Linked DNA regions of Styela clava. The protein of the gene in region 2 interacts with the protein of the main gene of each other region in a pairwise test. Links are inferred from orthologs where the notes say so. Each region holds a gene or a part of one and is shown on either strand. Other genes may lie near its edges.

Region 1 (9,659 bases), on a different chromosome or scaffold from region 2:
AACCACATTTCAAATAAACTTATATAAGATGAAAGTATGGCAGAGCATAATGAATAATTAAATCACAAAGCAAATATTATACAACATATATCATTTACATACAACATACAGTTAGTTATGAAATACAGTATTAGCAATTGTGAAATTTGAAAGCCAATTTTAATGTCCGTTATATTTACCAATGACTCAATATTCAAACACAAATATTAAAATATATATTTCAATATGCATGGGGTCCAATATAAATAGCATTTTGCCCACACCAAAATTTTTTTTTGCCAAACCAGTAATTAAAGACGAGGGGTCACATTTTTCTGTATGCATTAATATCTTGTACTCAAACACATCTAACATCAAATGAATAAAACTCGTAAATTAAGCAACAATTCTGCATTTTCGAAGCAAGATCTTCAACAATTCAAAATTGGCTCTTTGGAAATTACGGTATATCAAAAGATGATTAGAAATATTACATATTACACTGAAACCAAAGAAATGAGGCATGGAAAATGTGATCGCTATGCCTATAAGCACCAGTCTCTGAAGAAAATACATAAGAAACATTGATGATTTATTAGCTGTTATTATAATATATTAGCGATTAGCAAAACAGAACCTATGCATTGACATTCATTTGTAATGAGGAATTGACTGTTTGTGAATCACAAGTTATTATATTACCCAATTACATATTCACATTTTGATGACTCCAATTGTAAAGCAGTCACTGAATAATAGACATGAGGATTTGAACGAATTATAACATGGAACAATGGGGTGAATACTGCTGGATATTATTTACAATTACGGCAGTCAAACTGATCGAATACACTAAAAGCATATAACTATATGTTAAGCTGACTTAAATTAGAGCAATAAATTCAGTGATATTGATTAACCAATGTGTTTCCAAATCTAGTAAGAGAATGAATGTTATATGCCATCTTAATATTCTATTTTCTAGAAAATGGATATTGGACGAACTGTGCTATATTACTCAGCACACGCCAGACAAAAAAAAATTACCTATTATGTCAGACTGAAAAAAATGTTAGTTTTTTAATAAAACTGAAGACCAATCAGTTTCCACACAGCTAATCAAAGAGTATGTGAAAATTATTTAGAAGGATTAATTTAAGCAATTATCAAAAAATTAGTTGGTTTTTGTAGCAAACAAACACAAAGAATGTTGAATTCGACTAGGATTTTTTCATTGTCTCATCCTAAACACAAGAGAGAATGAAGCCTTCATAAGATTATACTTTAGAAAATCTCCTATTAAGAAGTACCATGTCCAACCTTGCTCATTCCTTGTCTAATATATACAATGCAAAAAAATTGACAAATAAAATCAAAATTCAACAAGAGAAACAACTAATACCTCTCATATAACAAGGTATACATTTACACATTGAGTTATATAGCCTGCAATGCAACAAAAGTGATTATCAAGATATGATTATTGGCTTTTTCATAAATAACCACTTAAGCTGAATTTCTCCAGCAAGTACCTGTACACGGGATGGAAATAAATTATCCTGTGATAAAAACGAAAGATGCTTTAAAATGTCAGGGTTGGAACCAGGGGTTGAGAAAATCAGATTATAATATGACTTCAATAATCAAATTAAATATTTGTATCACCTACATCTAGTTTTTTAAAGTGTAACTGGCGTTTCATTATAAAATTCAATTTAGACCTGCAGACATTTACGAAGATACAAGAATACTGTTAATTTGGTTATTTATGATACAAGTAATTTCATTAAAATTGTCATGTATGTCATGTCATAGATTGATAATAAAAATATGGTGTATTAGATTTCTTGTTCAGAATTCAATCCGCCTTAGAAATATTTGACCAACCCTAGTTGGAGCCAATATCAACTCCAAAGTAGAAATCAAATCTCAATAAAATTAGTCTGTTTGAGTCATATCACTAAATTGATCAGAAATATTCCAATTCCAACCCTGACATAATACAATTAAGCTACAGTAATTATTTACAAAACAAATGATATAGTAAATTATTTCTGATTGCAGAATAAGATATATATCATGTGGTTGCAGGGATTATGTTAATACAACAAAATATCAATCCAATCAATTTTTAAATACAATATTAACGAGATAGTAGCCTTTCAATTGCTGCATTAACATTTCCGCCTGTTGCTATTAAAGCCTGAATATTGGCTTCTCTATTCATAAATCCCATAGCTGTCAATTGCTCAAGTTCGGTTCGAAATCTTTCTTCAGGGGGTTGAGTGTTCGCAGATGGGTTCGTGGCTGCCAGTGACATCATTATCCGTGACAAAGCCTCGGGATCACTCGCAAGAGGATTAGTTGACTGCTGTGATGGGGTTGTCGATGTCGTGGAAGATGGTGTCGAAGTCGTTTGTGCTCGAGGCATCATTGGCATGGATGTCATTCCTGACAACAGTTGTGGTGCCTCACGTGATAATACATCCATGCCTTGTTGAATTTGAGTCATTGCTTGCAATACTCTAGGATTTTGCATTGCTGCTTGAAACTCCGGATTCTGCATTTGTTGAATCATTGTTGGAATCATTGACTGGAGTTGGGGATTATTGGCAATCATGGGATTGTTTTGCATTGCTGCAGCAGTCATCTGCGGATTTTGTGCCATCATATTCATCGCACTTTGCATGTATGGACTTGACATAAGATTTTGCATTGCGCTAGGGTTTTGCATCATATCCTGCATCATGTTTTGTATTCCACCGACACCAGGGGCAGCAGAAGATGACGTGTTGGTAGAACTACCTGTTGTTGGAGTGGTCGTAGTCGCTGCGGTTGATCTAGTGCCAGAACCTCCCCATGGATTTGGCAGTGGTTCTGTGTTTTCAACACCTCTTTGTGCATTGTTATCACCACTTGAATTATTGCTGTTCTGAATGAGACTAGCAAAAGGATTTCCGCCAAATTGCTCTTGGGCAGCATTCAACATTGGTTCCTGAACATCTGTGTACATTCTACGCAATGCATTGTAACCTCCAGGAATACTTTCTAGGTTGCTCAAGGCTCGATCTTGATTCCTCATCACTTCTTGTAACATTGCTGGGTTTCTTGTATATTCCAATGCTTGGCGCATCAACTCTGGATTGTTCAGTAAATGGCCGACTTCGGGGTTTTGTTCTATCAAAGCCTGCATTTGAGGGTTGGCCCTCATCAATTGTCCCATTACTTCAGGATTTGACAGCATGTTTTCAACCATTGGATTTCCCATTATTTGCTGCATTAGATCAGGATTACGCATCATTTCTTGTTGCATTTGCTGTTGCATGTCCATCAAATTTGTTGAATTAAATCCTGGCATTCGGGGAGGTTGATTCGGACGACTTTCAGTTGCGGTTGCTGTTGATGCAGATGATTGAGAAGATGTCGCGCTCTGACCTGATGTACTAGATTGAGCTTGTGGAAGACTCTTGATTACAAGATGAATTGTCTGTCCATCTTTGAGCTTGTGCGTTTCAACGCTTTCATTGTCCTTTAAAATTTTTCCCGCAAATATTAGAACGACTTTTTCTGGCGATGACGCAAATTTTTCCGCAACCTTTTCACGTAATTCTTTCACAGTTCCTTTTCCGCTAATCTCAACATCTTTTTTTTCTTTTGGCGTCTTAATCGAAATTTTAATTAGTTCTGAGTTTTCCGAATCCGCCATAGCGATGAAATTATTTTATATTTCCCAAAATTGCGCGTTGCTTCCTTGTAACGTGTCCAATTATAAAGACTAAACTAGAAATGAGTAGGATGATACCACAAAAAGTTAACAAGCTTCCAGATTTCAGAAGCGTGCGAAACTTCAGCACTGTAATATCAGTTAGATCCTATACGCAAAATAGTAGGTGTACATCCTAATATCATCATACGATACAATGTATGGATATAGAAATTTTAGTATTGGAATTCCAGTTTATATTGAAGATTGAAATGTTTGTATAATGGCATTGACTTAGACTATTATCATTATTATTGAGCTTTTTCATAAATTACGTTAAAATATTTTTATATCGTAAACTTAAATAATTTACTTCAGTTTTATTGACCATAAAAATGTATTTTTTGTTTTTATTGGTTGTATTTATCTGAAGTTAGACTGTTACATACTGTTCTTCAAAAATAATTGAAATTATTAATGCAGTACTGTTAACAAAAGTCATGACGTTTTTGTTTAGCACTCAAATAACTTATTATGAAACTGCATTATGTTGTTGATACATAAATGAAAAGGAACATGAATTTTGCGTGTGGGATTTATTTAAAAAACTCTGGCAAATTTTCATTGTGCTTTGTAGCTGACATCTAACGGCTTCTCGAACATTCCACTATTGCCAATATTTTACGTGCAGTAAGCGAAATCTATATTTAAGTACACGTGAAGTTATAGATTTATTGGACACGAAATGGATCGTTTAAATATTATGTTGTTGTTAGAATTCTTTGTCATGTTCTTGTTGTTATGAAAAAAATCGGGACAACACTAAAAGGCTAAATAAAAGAAGAAACGGATGAAGTGAATGAATTCCGGAGGTTGAAGTGTTCCCAGATGAGAAATATTTAAAAATGCTAAGAGGCTGAACACTAAAAAGAACAAGAGAGTTATGATCAAATATATTATGGACACGTAGCGCTACCTAATGGCAATAATTTTGACGACGTCATAGCAAAAAAAGAGTAAAGGCTTCTGAAGAAAATTTTTATCTTTCACCACTGAAAATTTCAAAGCAATTGGTCCAGTAATCAAAGAGAAAAGCGACTTTTTAAAAACGTGTCAAAGAACAAGAACAACAACATAATATTGAAACGATCGCTATGTCCACTACGTGTCCAAAAAGTGGAGGAAATTTCTTCCGACAGGTGGTGAGGTGGTTGAAGTCACTAAAAAGCTAAACAGTAATAGGAAGAAGTGAATGATATTTCTTTCGAAGGGTGGTGGGGTGGTTGAAATCAGTATAAAGCTGAACACTAAAAGGAAGAAGTGGATGAAATTTCTTCCGACGGGTGGTAGGGTAGTTGAAAACACTAAAAAACTGAACACTAAAAGGAAGAAGTGGATTGAATTTTTTCCGACGAATAATGAGGTGGTTGAAAACACTAAAAATCTGAACATTAAATAAAAGAAGTTGGTGAAATTTCTTCCGACGAATAGTGAGGTGGTTGAAGTCACTACAAAGTTGAACACTAAAAGGAAAAAAATGGATACAATTTCTTGCGACCGGTGGTGAGGTTGTTGAAAACACTAAAAAGCTGGACACTCAATGGAAGAAGTGGACAAAATTTCTTCCGAAAGATAATGAGGTGGTTGAAAACACTAAAAAGCTGAACACTAAAAGGAAGAAGTGAATGAAATTTCTTCCGACGGGTGGTGAGGTGGTTGAAGTCACTAAAAAGCTGAAGACTATAAGAAAGAAGCGGATGAAATTTCTTCCGACGGGTGGTGAGGTGGCTGAAGTCACTAAAAAGCTAAACAGTAATAGGAAGAATTGGATGAAATTTCTTCCGACGGGTGGTGAGGTGGCTGAAGTCACTAAAAAGCCGTACACTAAAAGGAAGAATTGGATGAAATTTCTTCCGACGAATAATGAGGTTGTTGAAAACACTAAAAAGCTGAACACTAAAAGGAAGAAGTGGATGAAATTTCTTCCGACATTTAATGAGCTGGTTGAAGTTACTTAAAATCTGAACACTAAAAGGAAGAAGTGGATAAAATTTTTTTGACATTTATTGAGTGTCTGAAGTCACTAAAAGCTGAACATTAAAAGAAAGAAGTGGATGAAATTTCTCCCTACATTTAATGAGGTTGTTGAAGTCACTAAATAGCTGAACACTAAAAGGAAGAAGTGGATGAAATTTTTTCCGACGAATAAGGAGGGTGTCGAAGTCACTAAAAAGTTGAACCTTAGGAGGACGAATTGACGAAATATCCCGATAGGAGTAACGTGGATGAGGTCACCGAAGACCGAGTAATGTGATTGAAAGCACTACAGATGGATGTAAAAGCTGTTTCTAAAAATAAGCTGAAGATTTTTTATGAGATTTGGCAGGTAGTGTCACTATGATTTCCCGGGAAGCGACTGTTTTTTTGTTTTGTTTTATACTCGATATAAGTGATGCTGAATTTTACTTTTATGGGGAATGACTGACTTGCAGGTGCCGAAGTGGCAGGGGCCTATGACTCCTGGATATCCAATTCGAATTCATAAGCAAATATCGCGACCTTCGTTTTTTGTGTTTATAAGAATACCGAATATCGCGCACACGTCCTAGCGTTAATGTCCACGTTTTGATAAAAACGATTATTTTATTTTTTATCATATTCGAAGACAGCAGGCCTGGGCGGCGCGGCAATAAATTACAGCCAAAATCAGTGGATTTCAATTAGCACCGACTTGAAGTTTTAATAACTCTTCGAAATTGTTTTTGATTGAAATTATTTTACAATTAGCATCGTATATTCCAATTTCCATTTTTTTCACGTTGCACAAGACGCATAAATCATCATTGTTACAGGATCTGTTGAAGCTAGGGCAGTCCGGGTAACGATACTGGTGATTTACGATGGTCCACAGTTTCAGCTTCGTCCAAGATATGATTTTTGGGGAAATTGTGAGTAAAATATTTTGTTTCGGCTTTCGTGTTCATGTATTTGAGTATTGCTTCCTTATTGGACACTTGGTGGACATAATGATCGTTTCAACATTATGTTATTGTTTTTGTTTTTCTTCTCCGTTGTCATAATAAAATTGCTCTTCGAATACAGGACAAATTGCTTTGAAATTTTCAGTGGTTAAAGATTGCTTTGCCAGAAGACTATCACTTTCACTTATTTTAAAAATTTCTGTGAACCTCAAGAGCTTTCTTTTCTTGTGTGCAATATGTGTTGCAATAAAAAATAGCGACAACTTGTGGCGTTTCCATATATTTGAGCATAGCTCTCTTGTTTTTTATTATTATAATATGTAAGTATATCAAATCGAGGTCGTGAGCACTGAACTAAAATGACAAAATGAGCATGGACAGTGCACTAGCTAGCAGGCGTCTCTAACCAGAGACAATGCATAACAATGCGATGTGACATTCATGCTCTGATGAGGTATAACTACGTTTATCTCTGTGGAAGGTATGCCAGCAAACATCACGGGCGTAATAAAAATAGAAAAAATTAAATATAAGCTTAGTGATTGTCGAGAAACTTGATTAACAACAAATTTAATCAGTACAATTGAAGTTTTGGGAACAAATTTTGGCTCTGAAATTTTGTTCACACCTATGCATAATCGGGAGTTTGATGGTGTCTATATTAGATTGACAGAAGGCATTTTTGAAGAAAATAGAAGTAGCACACATTTTTATTCTATATGATAAAAAAATATAACTGAAGACATCTGAAATGGAAAAGTGCTTGAACAAGAATTATACTAAGACGCACTAACCACGTATTTTACTTCGAAATATCAGTGTAATACATCGACAGACTGGTCTTGTAATTGTGAAAACAAAAAGAATGCTTATGTACGTTTCCATTTAAAATTTATTTAAAAAAAACCCGCATACAAAATTGAATCACGGTCTTGGATTAATTGGCATAAAAAGCGAAATGGCAAAGAAGAAGCATCAGTATAATATACCGTCTAATTACCTTTACAGTATTCGTCTAAGGTGGATCCGAATTACAAAAATTGCACTACATTCGCCATTTTCTACCCTCTCATTTTTTTTCATAATACGTCATCTCAGCCAACGTCGCCATTCAGCTTCTTCTTTGCCTTTTGTTAGGTAAAGTAAATGTTCTGTTTTAATTGCTCGGCGGTGTTTCGCGCTGAGCGTTAGGAATACGCTCGCTACCGCACCTGCGTGGGTTAGCTGGTTCGAATCCCGCGCGGGATGAGAATTACCGTGTTTCCTCGAAAATAAGACCTAGCCCGAGTTTTAAAGATAAGACCTAGTCGATAGTGCGAATTTGTTTTCCTGGCATAGTCGATGGCAAGGAATCTCTCCTATACGTTTCAATAAATAAATAAATGAAAATTTTAATAAAAACGTGTTATTAATAAGTAAATGGATATCGGTTGTTGTCATATTTTGTATATTCGAAAAATCTCGTAATTCTCCACTTTGTAATTTTGTTTTTGATAAATGATAATAAAAGACATTCCCCAAAATAAGCCCAAGTGTTATTTTTCGGAAGAAAGTTAAAATAAGACACTGTCTTATTTTCGGGGGAACACGGTATATGCGAGGCGAGGCGCCGCCGCAGGCTGGTTCAAATAACCGCTGGTCAGTTACGACTTTCTCAACCATCAAGTCCATGTATCTGAAACAAATAACTTGTTATTAACTAATCTCATACCCTACATGGACCGGTAACCGGACAAGTGACCGTGTTCCGCAAGATGTTTGAGCCGTCTAATCGGCTTTCATCTCCCCGGGATAAATATAGAAATGTACTGATATCGGCATTTATTTCGGTATTGGTATATGTTCGGTATCGGCTAATAATATGCTTCCGATTCTGCTGTTCAATGAGATCCAGAATGTTTTTAAAATGAGTTGGCATCCGAATGTTGATATCTGAAACAATTTTTTTTTTGTGGAAGGACCATGTTCGCGGCCAACCTGCTGCACTGGAAACGGGTATTATAACGTCACAATATCTGATACTATGATGTTTTATCATCATTTGAACTTGTTTTTAGATTCCAATTATTATATACTAAATATAAATATAATCACTAACAACAGAATTTTATGAAATATATATATTAAGAAATGTGACCTTATGTATACTGAAGTTTTCACACACTGTACACATATGTACACGGAATTTATTAAGAACGCCCTCAATTCTTACTCGTTTTGAGCTATTCCTCATCCAAACTACCTTCCCAATTAATTTATCTATTTTCGCTACTAAAATTGTGTTATTTAAATATTTGACAATAAAGAAGAAAAATATCAATCAAATATCACAGTGAATTTCCTCGTTGTGTGAAAATAAAATTTGACATAAAATTGTCACAAAATTCTGCGTACGCCACTATGGGTATTGGTTTAATAAAAGTGGTAAACATTTATCGAATATACCATTACGGTAGACAACTTGGTATGAGTTTAAAACACCGCTATTCCCAGCGCCCGTGCAAAACGAAACGTCTGCAGACACCTATATTAATATGTAAAAGAAGTGTCGAGTCCATATTTGCATACGTGCAGATTTACAAGGCAATTTACGATGCAATTAATTAAAGTAAGCTATTTTGATATGCCTTCAGTAATGAGTCAAGTGACACTCCATTTATGCGTCTAAATATTTTTTATTTGTGTTTCAAGCTGAAACTCAAGAACATGCGTTAATTATTGTTACATATTATCGGTGATGTCGACACCTTGAAATTTATCTGGTCTTTTTCATAGTTTGCTTATCCCTTAAAACTATTTTGTTCTAGTATATCTGAACTTATACCTTTGTCTGGGGTAGACAAATAATTGTTTGAAAGCTGGTATCGTTTTAGCAACAATAATATACTTTTTTAAAATCAATCGCGAAAATATACGAGATAAATGTTGGGGTACAATTTATCGTGATAGGCACAGCAGATCTTGACGCAAGATACGATGAAGTGTGATGGAGAATT
Region 2 (9,625 bases):
CACTGAAAAATCAGCTTTTACATCGGGCGGGTATTCAAGCACCGGCCCTTATTTATTTTTATGTTCTGTTCACACGGGCGGCTATTCAAACGGGCCCTTAATGAAGATCGGGCGGTAAAACGAGCATATTACGGCTGGGTCCTCACAACAATCCTAAATCCTGATTCGGTCAATATTGCTGTCGTGTACAATAAAAATAGCTCATTGATTGCATATAAGTGGCTCCTTGGCAATGACAATGTCATACACCAAATTTAGACATGGTGCTGAATTAGCCCATTATCACAAAGCGGTTCTGACTCCAGTTATCGTAATATCTTGAGTTTGAATCCAATGCACCCCCTCCAGATAATTTTGGCAGGGAATACTGAATTGGGTAGTGACTAATCCCCACAATAAATGTGGCTCTTTGCATATAAGCCTTGTTTTAATGAAAGTGCCACAACAAATAAATCTCTAACCTTGTAACGGCTTCGCTGTAGACGAATCCCATGTTCGCTCGTTTCACGATTTCGAAGCAAAGATCAGCGCCGTCCATGCTAAAAAAATAATTTCATGAAATTTTTGAATAAAAATTTAGTTAACGCTGTACCATACACGAAAGTCATTGAATATGCAATTTTTTTTTTTAATTTTTCAGCAGTTGCATAGGTCAAATGTCATTGGAAAAGGGCTCTTTAGCGTCATTTCACAGAACAGAACTCTAGCATATCCTCCTAAAAGCTACGAGTCAAATGTTGAGATCCAATGATTAGCAGCAGAATTTTTTTAAAATGATCGAATAAAATGGGCGACCCAGAAGTATGTGTCCCTGTATGGAGGTAAATAATTATTGAGGGGGGGGGTGAAGTTAATTGCAAATAAAATAATACTTCCATCCATGTATTTTCAAAAGTTTTTTTTAATAAACATACTTCCGCATTAACATCTGTTATTTGTAGCCTAGTGTGAGCTGGTTATTTTTAAGGTGGGGGTGAGACTTGACTAATTTTAGAAAAGGGGGCGCGACTTAAAAAGTTTGAGAACCATTGGTTTGGTTATTTATAATAAAATTTGAAATAAATCAAATTTTGTATGTGGTGGCAAGTAACTTTCTAAACAAACAGGGTACAAAATTTGGCGCTCACGAAGTATGTGCACCAAGATGGTGCACAACCTGAACCCTAACCTGGTACGCATACTATGTTCAGGTGGTGCGACATCTTGGTGCACATACTTCGGGAAGTCCCAAAATTCTCTGACGAACGCATGGGGCCTGCGAGTTGTAGTTTGCCCATCCCTGCTTTAATAAAACTTTTATTTTGTTTCAAGTAAAGTAATACTCACTATTCGAAGACCATGTACAGCAATCCTTCCTCGCTGTAAACTTCATAGAGTTCAACAACGTTAGGATGTTTCAGCATGTGACATATTGTCGCTTCTCTCTTCAAATCTGTGGAACATGCAGGAATAAGAATTAAATTGTAATTGTAACCTAGGATCTCTAGGTCACTTATCTCATTATCCAGAAAATGCCAAGAACGACGCAAAGATGTCGCTGAAAAGGTTGTTTTTACAGCTATTTGAGAGATGTCGTTACTCACGTAAAGCGTATCGCATTCTCGACGCGTGACGTGAATAAGAGAGAAACTCAAAATTTTGGAATTGTAACGTAAAATTATCTGCTATATGTATTGAATTTCATCTGTGAACTAATCCGTTAGTTGTTGTCGACTAGTTACTACTTTAGTTATATATTAGACTCCTAAAATCTAGACTCCAAGATAAAGCAATATATTGATCAGAAGTTATGCGTGTTCAATTTGCTATCGGCAGGAATAATTAGAAATCGAGTTGATTATAACAGAATTTCAAATTTTAAATTTTTTAAAAATAATTTGGGATAGTCAATTTTCGAAAATGGTCATTTTGACACAGTGCATTGGTATTGAAAGTGGACCCAAGTTTGCATGAAAAACTCTTTGTGATTCCGAACAATGATTTGTAAAATGCATTATTGACAGATGGTCAAAGAATTTTACTGAACACTGTTGCAATTTGACATAAAAAAAAACTCTGAAATGTTTCATTCGCTCCATCAAAAGAGGTTGAATACCCCTGAAGAAAACTTTCAGAAATTGCAATGCCCACAGGGAATGCATTATGTGAAATATAATATCACCACTGTAATTGTCATGGGACAGCTGTCCCGGATTGGCCATAATTCCCTTCCAATGAAAGGTAGTATAGGTATGTATTCTAAAATGCAAGATTTTTTTTGTGCTCACAATTTTTGCCATTTGACTAATCTCAATCTAAAGCATGATTGTGATAGAGATGTCAGGGGTTCGCTCCTTTTGGGAAACGCTGCCTATTTATTCGTTATCTCATCTGACCTATTTCTACTTTTCTAGCGACCACCTTGTATATCATCTCTCAATAAAATCATTTATTGCTTTCGAATCAGTCAACCAGGTTCAATCGAATGTGTGGAAATTAGCATCTGAGTGTTGGTGAGAGATAGATGAGCGATCAAGTATTCTAATCAGCTACGTCTCACCCCCAACGGGGTTTGAATCGAAGTAACCCTATCATGACCAAAAGTTAATAATAAGCAGAACCCTGGAAAAAAAAAAACTACCCAGAAAATCCACTTCTTTCCTTGCATTGCATCAACTATCTTAGAGTCAGAAATATAGAATACAAAAAACGGACGCTTCAGAAGTATGTGCACCAAGATGGCGGTCACCGTGACTCCCGTAGTATTTGCACCTGAAATTATGGACTAACCCTAACCTGGTACACATACTAGATTCCGGTGTCCGCCATCTTGGTTCACATACTTCTGGAGTACCAAAAGGTGTTATGAGTGTTGGGCCATGATCATGAAAGTTTGAGGGCCGTTTGGATTGTAAAAAAAATAACTCACCGTGGGCAGTAAGTCCAGGACTTCCAGTGAACTTTGCCACGTCAACGATTTTAACAGCGTACTGGAGTTTTGATCTTCGATGAGTGCAACGTCTGACAAAACTGAATGGACCTCTGTAACAGGAAAATGTATTTTGTTGAAAATGTTTTTATTGTCAATCTGGTAACTGGTATTTTCCTGGAATGCTCAGCATGATATCATTGGTTTTCTGGAGACTGAGGCTCGTGTATGAATCCCAAATTCGAAAATATTTCAGGGGATAAACAAATTATAGATGTTATTATAAATGAGAACAAATGAATTGAAAGTTAAGTAAAAATGAAATGAACAATATTTGAACAATTTATAACTGTAAAAAAATAATTATATGGTCACTGATCAGCATCCGAAGCCACTGAAATTTTGGGTAGATCATGCTTAATATATATCATGATATTGCTCCACTCCAACAAGATTCAGGCATTTTCAAATACAATAAAAGCTTCTCACATAACATCAGATTTCAGTGGCCGTTTGTAGAAGGCCATGTTCGAAGCTAAAAGCACCGCTATGAGTCAAGTGCAATTTCAAGTATTTTGTGGCGTCTGAAGCTCAGGTGAGATTTCCGGACCATGGACACTATGGCCAAACCCATGGCGACTGTCTTTTTGACTGCCACGAACCAATGGTTGGCTGCCGATACAACAGCAGCAAATTGAAAACTAAAGGCGGGTGAAATTTTGCTGCCATAACCACAGCATGTCAGCTGTAATGGCAGGGCTGTCCCGGATGGTGATAAATATTGGGTAAGCTGGAACAGTTCCTTATAGATACAGTTTTAATGGATTTGGGGTTAGGTTTTAGGTTAAGTAGATATAATTCTGCATGATAAAATAAAATCTGGCTTTGTGAATATACCGGTAATAGCGCCATCAACAGGGCAGGAGCTGCCATCGGTTCATTCGGTTGCCATGAAGTGGTAAGAACTGCGCCTCCTACGAGTCATAAAAATAAAAAATTACTCACTTTCCGATGGTCTCGTGCTGTTCATAGTGGGTCTCGAATCTCTCCTCTACCATATTGTTCATTATGAAAGATCACTCAGCAATTGATTTATTACTTGTTATTCATAGTCAGATCTAAGTACTTAAAATGTGATAAATATATTTCTGTTGCAGAATATATGAACGGAATAAAGTTAACTTGTGAGGAAAGATATTGCCAGATTTCACAAACCCATGTTTACATGTTACAATAGAACAGTCAGACAGTGGTGAGCAAATACTCTTCTGAGTGATCCTTTTACATCCGACCCACGACTCGATATGAAAAACTATGAATATAAACAGTATGGTTATTGGTTACACACAACTAGTGAGTCACAGCTAGATAAGTTTTAAAGTCATCTTTCACTACCTCAACCCACTGGAATATAGCAAATATATAATTTATTAATATATAAATATATATATTTATTCATTTTTTTTTTCCATTTTAAATTCATAATCCAGTTGAGTGAGTTTCATATTTCAGTATTTTTCAAGCTTGGTCCAGAAGTAATAATTATCTACAACAATTAGGTTATTTCAATAATTACATCGACATAAAACAATGAACAAACAAATTAGCAAATGCAATAACACTTAGATCTATCACAAACTTCCTATTTAAAATAAGGCTTCTCGTGAATTTTGCAAAACTAGGCTATCATGAATCGTTTGTTCACTCTGGAATTTTCTATATTTTTTCCACTTATTGACCCATTACAGTATTGGGATTATTTACATCTGCTCTAAATGTAGAGCAATATACAGATATAAGTCTGTAAGGTGTTTTATTTTCAAATATTGAAATATGATCTAACGATAGAATTTTTGGGTCTGGTATAGTTTAGTACCACATGCACTTCTAGTTGGCCTGGCTAAACAATTTTTGCATATTTCAATCCCAACCCCCACCTGACTACGTTACCGAAAAATTACGTCATTTTGACATCACAGTGGCGTAAAAAGCCCCCCCCCCCAAAGTATGCTGAGGTCGTCCAAAACGCACAGGCGATCACTCGAAATCGAGCAAGCTATTTCTCTCATTTTTTTGTCGCAACGATCACGATATGAAAGAGATTCCCAACGTTAGCGAGTTCCTTATCCAGTTATCACTGTATCAGTGATGGGCGATCGTGAACTGGGCGATCGTAAATATATTTTGACAGGCTCTATGACATGGTGATGTTGTAGCGAAGTACTTTTTAAATGGCATAGTCAGGTAGTCAGGGGTTAGGAATAACATATGCAAAATTCTTTATGCCTGCTCCACTAGAAGTACTTGTGGTAGTCCACTAAACTATACTATAAGTATAAGTTTATTTCGACTCCATAATCCAGTAATCAGCATAACACTTAAATGATTTGTATAAAAAATAAATCAATCAATCATTCATTTTGGTTCTCTGACATAAACAATACAAAAAGTAAACGGACAAAACAAAATGCAGTGATACCTGGGAGACAGGCATAACTTAAAAAAGGTTAAAAAGCGTACAATGTACTTGCCGGCCCACCAGAAGATAAATGAAACAAACACAGATTTAAAAACGCGATCGGGCATCACTTTGGAAGCAATTTGACAAAAACAACCAATTGCAGAATTGAAGTAGAAACTGATAAAATAAAAACTGATTATGAAAACAGGAGAGCAAACAAAACCTTGGACAAGGTTTAAAACGTACACAATACAAGATGGAAGGTCGTGCCAAGAAGAAGTGGTACGTGTTCACTCACCCAAAATAATGGAAATATTTCACACACTCTCACACAACCATACAGAAGTTACAAAGTAAAAAGAACCCGAATTTTTCATGATCCAAATTTTATAGCCTACCGTATCTCACAATTTATATGACGAAAAAAATAAATACTACTAGTCTACTTTATTAGTGCTACTAAACCTATTCCGGTACATCGAGTTTTCTAAAACAAGAAAACCATTCCCATGTTCGACAAACTGACAATAACGTCAGAACGAGATTTGTGAATCCTATCCTAATCCTATCCTAACGTACCGGTACCGGTACGGTAATATCGAAACAATTTTAGTGTATGGCCCCGTTATTATTTTGTCCGCGTGACACGCAAAAGAATCATTAATTTGCAAATATGAAAATCTGTTAATTCAGCAACAACTAGCCTACAAGCAAATAAACTAAAACCACAATCAGCAAAATTTCTCATTCATTTCGCAAGAGAACCGACCTGACGGTCATTGTGGAGCAATAAAATCTATGGACAATTCGTCTGTCTTTGAGCGGTACGAATCATCCAACTCGAAAGTTATTTGGTACGAGCTGTCTGTGATTTTGAAGTGTGACTCTTGGGTGCCATCTCCCGGGTTCAATAACTTTATCAATGATCATAGCACATAGTGGGAATATTGATTGCCAGGTCTTCCAAATGAGACGATCTTTTCGCATAAACACTTTTTAATTTCACACATTTAGCTCTAAACAAAGCTCAGTGGGAGCACTACGTTATATTTTTTAATCTACAACTTCTGATTGTTTCATATACTGATACAAAAAAAACAAAAAAAAATGAATCAAACAATTAATGATCGAAGAAAATAGAAATACCGTAATTCGAATCACTATCCACACTTTTAAAATCAAATACCTGACTGAATAATCCTTTACCCGGCATGGACTGGAGGACCCATCGTGTTTGCCATTTGATCCCCCCCTTTTGAATTTTCTGAAACGTGAAAAAGTTGCCGATAACACGTGCAATTGCCTTCTGCTAAAATCGACGTTCGTTTTCATCAACGCGGCATGTTATTTATGCCGTGAACGCCCTTTACATTGGTGTTTATTCTCTTTAAATCACAAATTTGTGCCGCGGGAACAATGATAATTATTGGACACGTAGTGGACATAACGATCGTTTCAATATTATGTTGTTCTTGTTTTTGTTCTTGTTATTTGACACAGAATAACACACCTAGTGGAAATATTAAATAAACGCTTTCTCTTCGAATACTGGACCAATTGCTTTGAAATGTTCAGTGGTTGAAGATAAAATTTTTCCCCAGAAGGCTATTACTTTTATTCATTTTAAATATTTCTGTTAGCTCTGTGAGATTTGTTTTTGTTTGCTATGACGTCATTAAACGTTCTGCGGGCATCGGACGCCATTTCGTGTCTTACTGTACTGCTTCGCTTGGTGTGAATATATTTGTAGACTGTGATCTGACGGTACGGTAAACCGTACTGTACTGCGGACAGACGTGTCCATATATTTGGGCGTAGCTCTCTTGTTTTATTTTTGTACCCGCACGGAAATGTGAAAACTGAAAAAGCGTGCAATTGCCTTCTGCTAAAATCGCTTATGTTTTCATCAGCGTGTTATTTAGGCCGTAAACGCCCTTACATCGGTTTTTATTCTTTCTAAATCATAAATTTGTGCCACGATAGACATGATAATTATTTTATTTTTGTACTTTTCACGGAATTGTGAATTCGTGAGTTATTACACATTCATCGGTGGCGAGGTTCTAAAGACAAAAGAAGGAGTAAAACCGCGATCTAAATTTGATTGAAAAGCGGCATTATGAAATACTGAAAATAAAACCGTAAATAGTTTAAGTTTTGTTGAGTCCCGCGACAGTCTAAAAACGATTTTCTAGTCGCAAAATCGCAAAATTTCGTGTGCCTACGGCGCACATTATGTTTGGTCGCCGTTTAGGAACATACCGTCACTAAATTCGAAACACGGTTAATTGTGGGTGGGATTTGCCCTTTATCCAGCACTCCAAAATTGTCGTAGAAAATTTTCGTGTTATCATTAAACAAGGTTGAAAACGCGATTTTTTCCCGGTTTGTGATGATATACAAGATAATTAATCCGAAGTATATCCATCAATTTTTATTGTACTGAAATAAATTTTACTCCATGAGAATTTACAGCAGATTTACGGATTTTTCAGGAGGTTTTATCTTTAAAAATAATCGGAGTGTCAGCATTGCGATTGAACGGAGTCAATGTTACAAGCACATCTCAAATTTGTCGAATTTGCAAAATAGAAAAAATACGGATCAAAACAATATATGACACGGGCAGTTACCACAAATTTTTATTTTTATGTCGGCATATGGCCGAGGTTTTTTTAAAATTGTGACATGTAAAAAATTGATATGTTTTGTCGACGCAAACGCTGGTTAAATTGAAGAAAATTAAATTAATAAAGCAAGACATTTTAAATATGCCCTTATCGGTCACGAATTGATTACTTTGCACAACAGAAAAATCATTTCTCGTTGTAAACGTCGGCTCTTTTAACAAGTGGCGTAATCGCGGCGATGAATATGTATTTTTGATTTAACGATATACTTCATATGCATTTTCATTGTACGAAATAAAATTGTACTTTTCGGGATTTTATATCAGTTATTGAGATTTTTCTAACGGCGATAACGAGTTGGCAAGATTCCAAAAATACGTATTAAAATTAAATACACCGTTTATCTCATATTTTTATGTCCACCGATCGCCGTGGCATTTCAGAGAACTAATGTTTTAACTTTGACGTGAGAAGAAGCAACCGCGAGTTACGTTGGACACAATTAAACTAATATATAAAGACATTTTAGAATTTTGTAGTTGTCAGAGATTGAATATTTCACGCGACAAGAATAATCATTATACGCTGAAAAGACGTCCCTTTAACGAGAGCGTAATGCAAAGACTGTTACAGGCTGCAATGGGAATTTATGATTATGTACCCCCCCCCCCCTTTGAAAATCCTGGCTGCGCGCCTGAGCGTGATAACTAACTTCAATCATTAGCCCCTTGTAATTTTGCTTTTTACAATTATTTAATTGTATATTACTCTATTATATCTAATCCAATATACTCAATCCAATACCTGTGAATCTTATGTATAACAGTGAATATGGGGGGAGCTGACTTGGATGACCGTATGGTCGTATCGCTCCCTCCAGTCTTTACCATGAACAGTGTTTATTTATTTGTATTTATGCTTTCATATTTATATTTGTTTTGGTTGACGAATCAATAAATCTTTCTCTCTCTGATCGAGCAGTCTCGTCCCCTTCTTTTTTCCCGGAATAAATAAAATAAATTTCTCTCTCTCTCTCTAATCCTATCCTGACCTTTGGTCGTATCACCATCTCCCAGTCCATACCGAAATAAATGCTGTGTAGTTTATTAATTTGAAATTTATTTGTATTTTGGTTGACAAAAATAACAAGGGAGCTATGCTCAAATATAGGGACACGTTACAAGGTGCCGCTATTTTTTATTCCGACACATAAAAAACGAATCTCCTAAAGTTCACAGAAATTTTTGAAAGAAGTAAAAGTAATGGCCTTCTGGCGAAAAAATCAATCTTCAACCACTGGAAATCTTGAAGCAATTGGGTCAGTATTGGAAGAGAAAAGCGATTTTTTAATGATGAAAAAAGGAAAAAAAGGAACAAGAACAACATTAAAACGGTCGTTATGTCCACTGACGTGTCCAATAAACTCTTTCTCTCTTTATATATTTTTTAGTATCGAATTATGAAGTAATAAGTTGAACGAATCTGGCAACTATACTCTGTTTACTTTCTGCAATAGTAATTGCGCAACACCGCAAGAGTCATTGATCAAATTTGCACCAACTGCTCTACGCGTCACCCCTTCCGTTTATGCTTATAGATCAGATACAGACTTGTCGTCGTTCATGA

Evidence for each region.
Region 1: the proteins of peripheral plasma membrane protein CASK-like (region 2) and ubiquilin-1-like interact in a two-hybrid assay, tested with the Caenorhabditis elegans proteins (2 studies listed by BioGRID). The link is inferred for Styela clava from reciprocal best matches to the Caenorhabditis elegans genes lin-2 and ubql-1.

What each region holds. Positions count from the first base shown.
Region 1 is NC_135258.1:15,531,010-15,540,668, reverse strand, and holds the start of ubiquilin-1-like, read right to left. Parts: upstream 3,832-9,659; 5' UTR 3,686-3,831; coding exon 2,123-3,685; 3' UTR 1-2,122. UniProt on the Caenorhabditis elegans protein: May play a role in the ER-associated protein degradation pathway (ERAD) possibly via its interaction with ER-localized proteins ubxn-4 and cdc-48.1 and/or cdc48.2, providing a link between the polyubiquitinated ERAD substrates and the proteasome.
Region 2 is NC_135256.1:839,579-849,203, reverse strand, and holds the start of peripheral plasma membrane protein CASK-like, read right to left. Parts: upstream 4,053-9,625; 5' UTR 3,976-4,052; coding exon 3,914-3,975; intron 3,022-3,913; coding exon 2,909-3,021; intron 1,433-2,908; coding exon 1,327-1,432; intron 540-1,326; coding exon 462-539; intron 1-461. UniProt on the Caenorhabditis elegans protein: May play a structural role in the induction of the vulva. May be required for the localization of signal transduction molecules (such as let-23 receptor) to either the basal membrane domain or the cell junctions.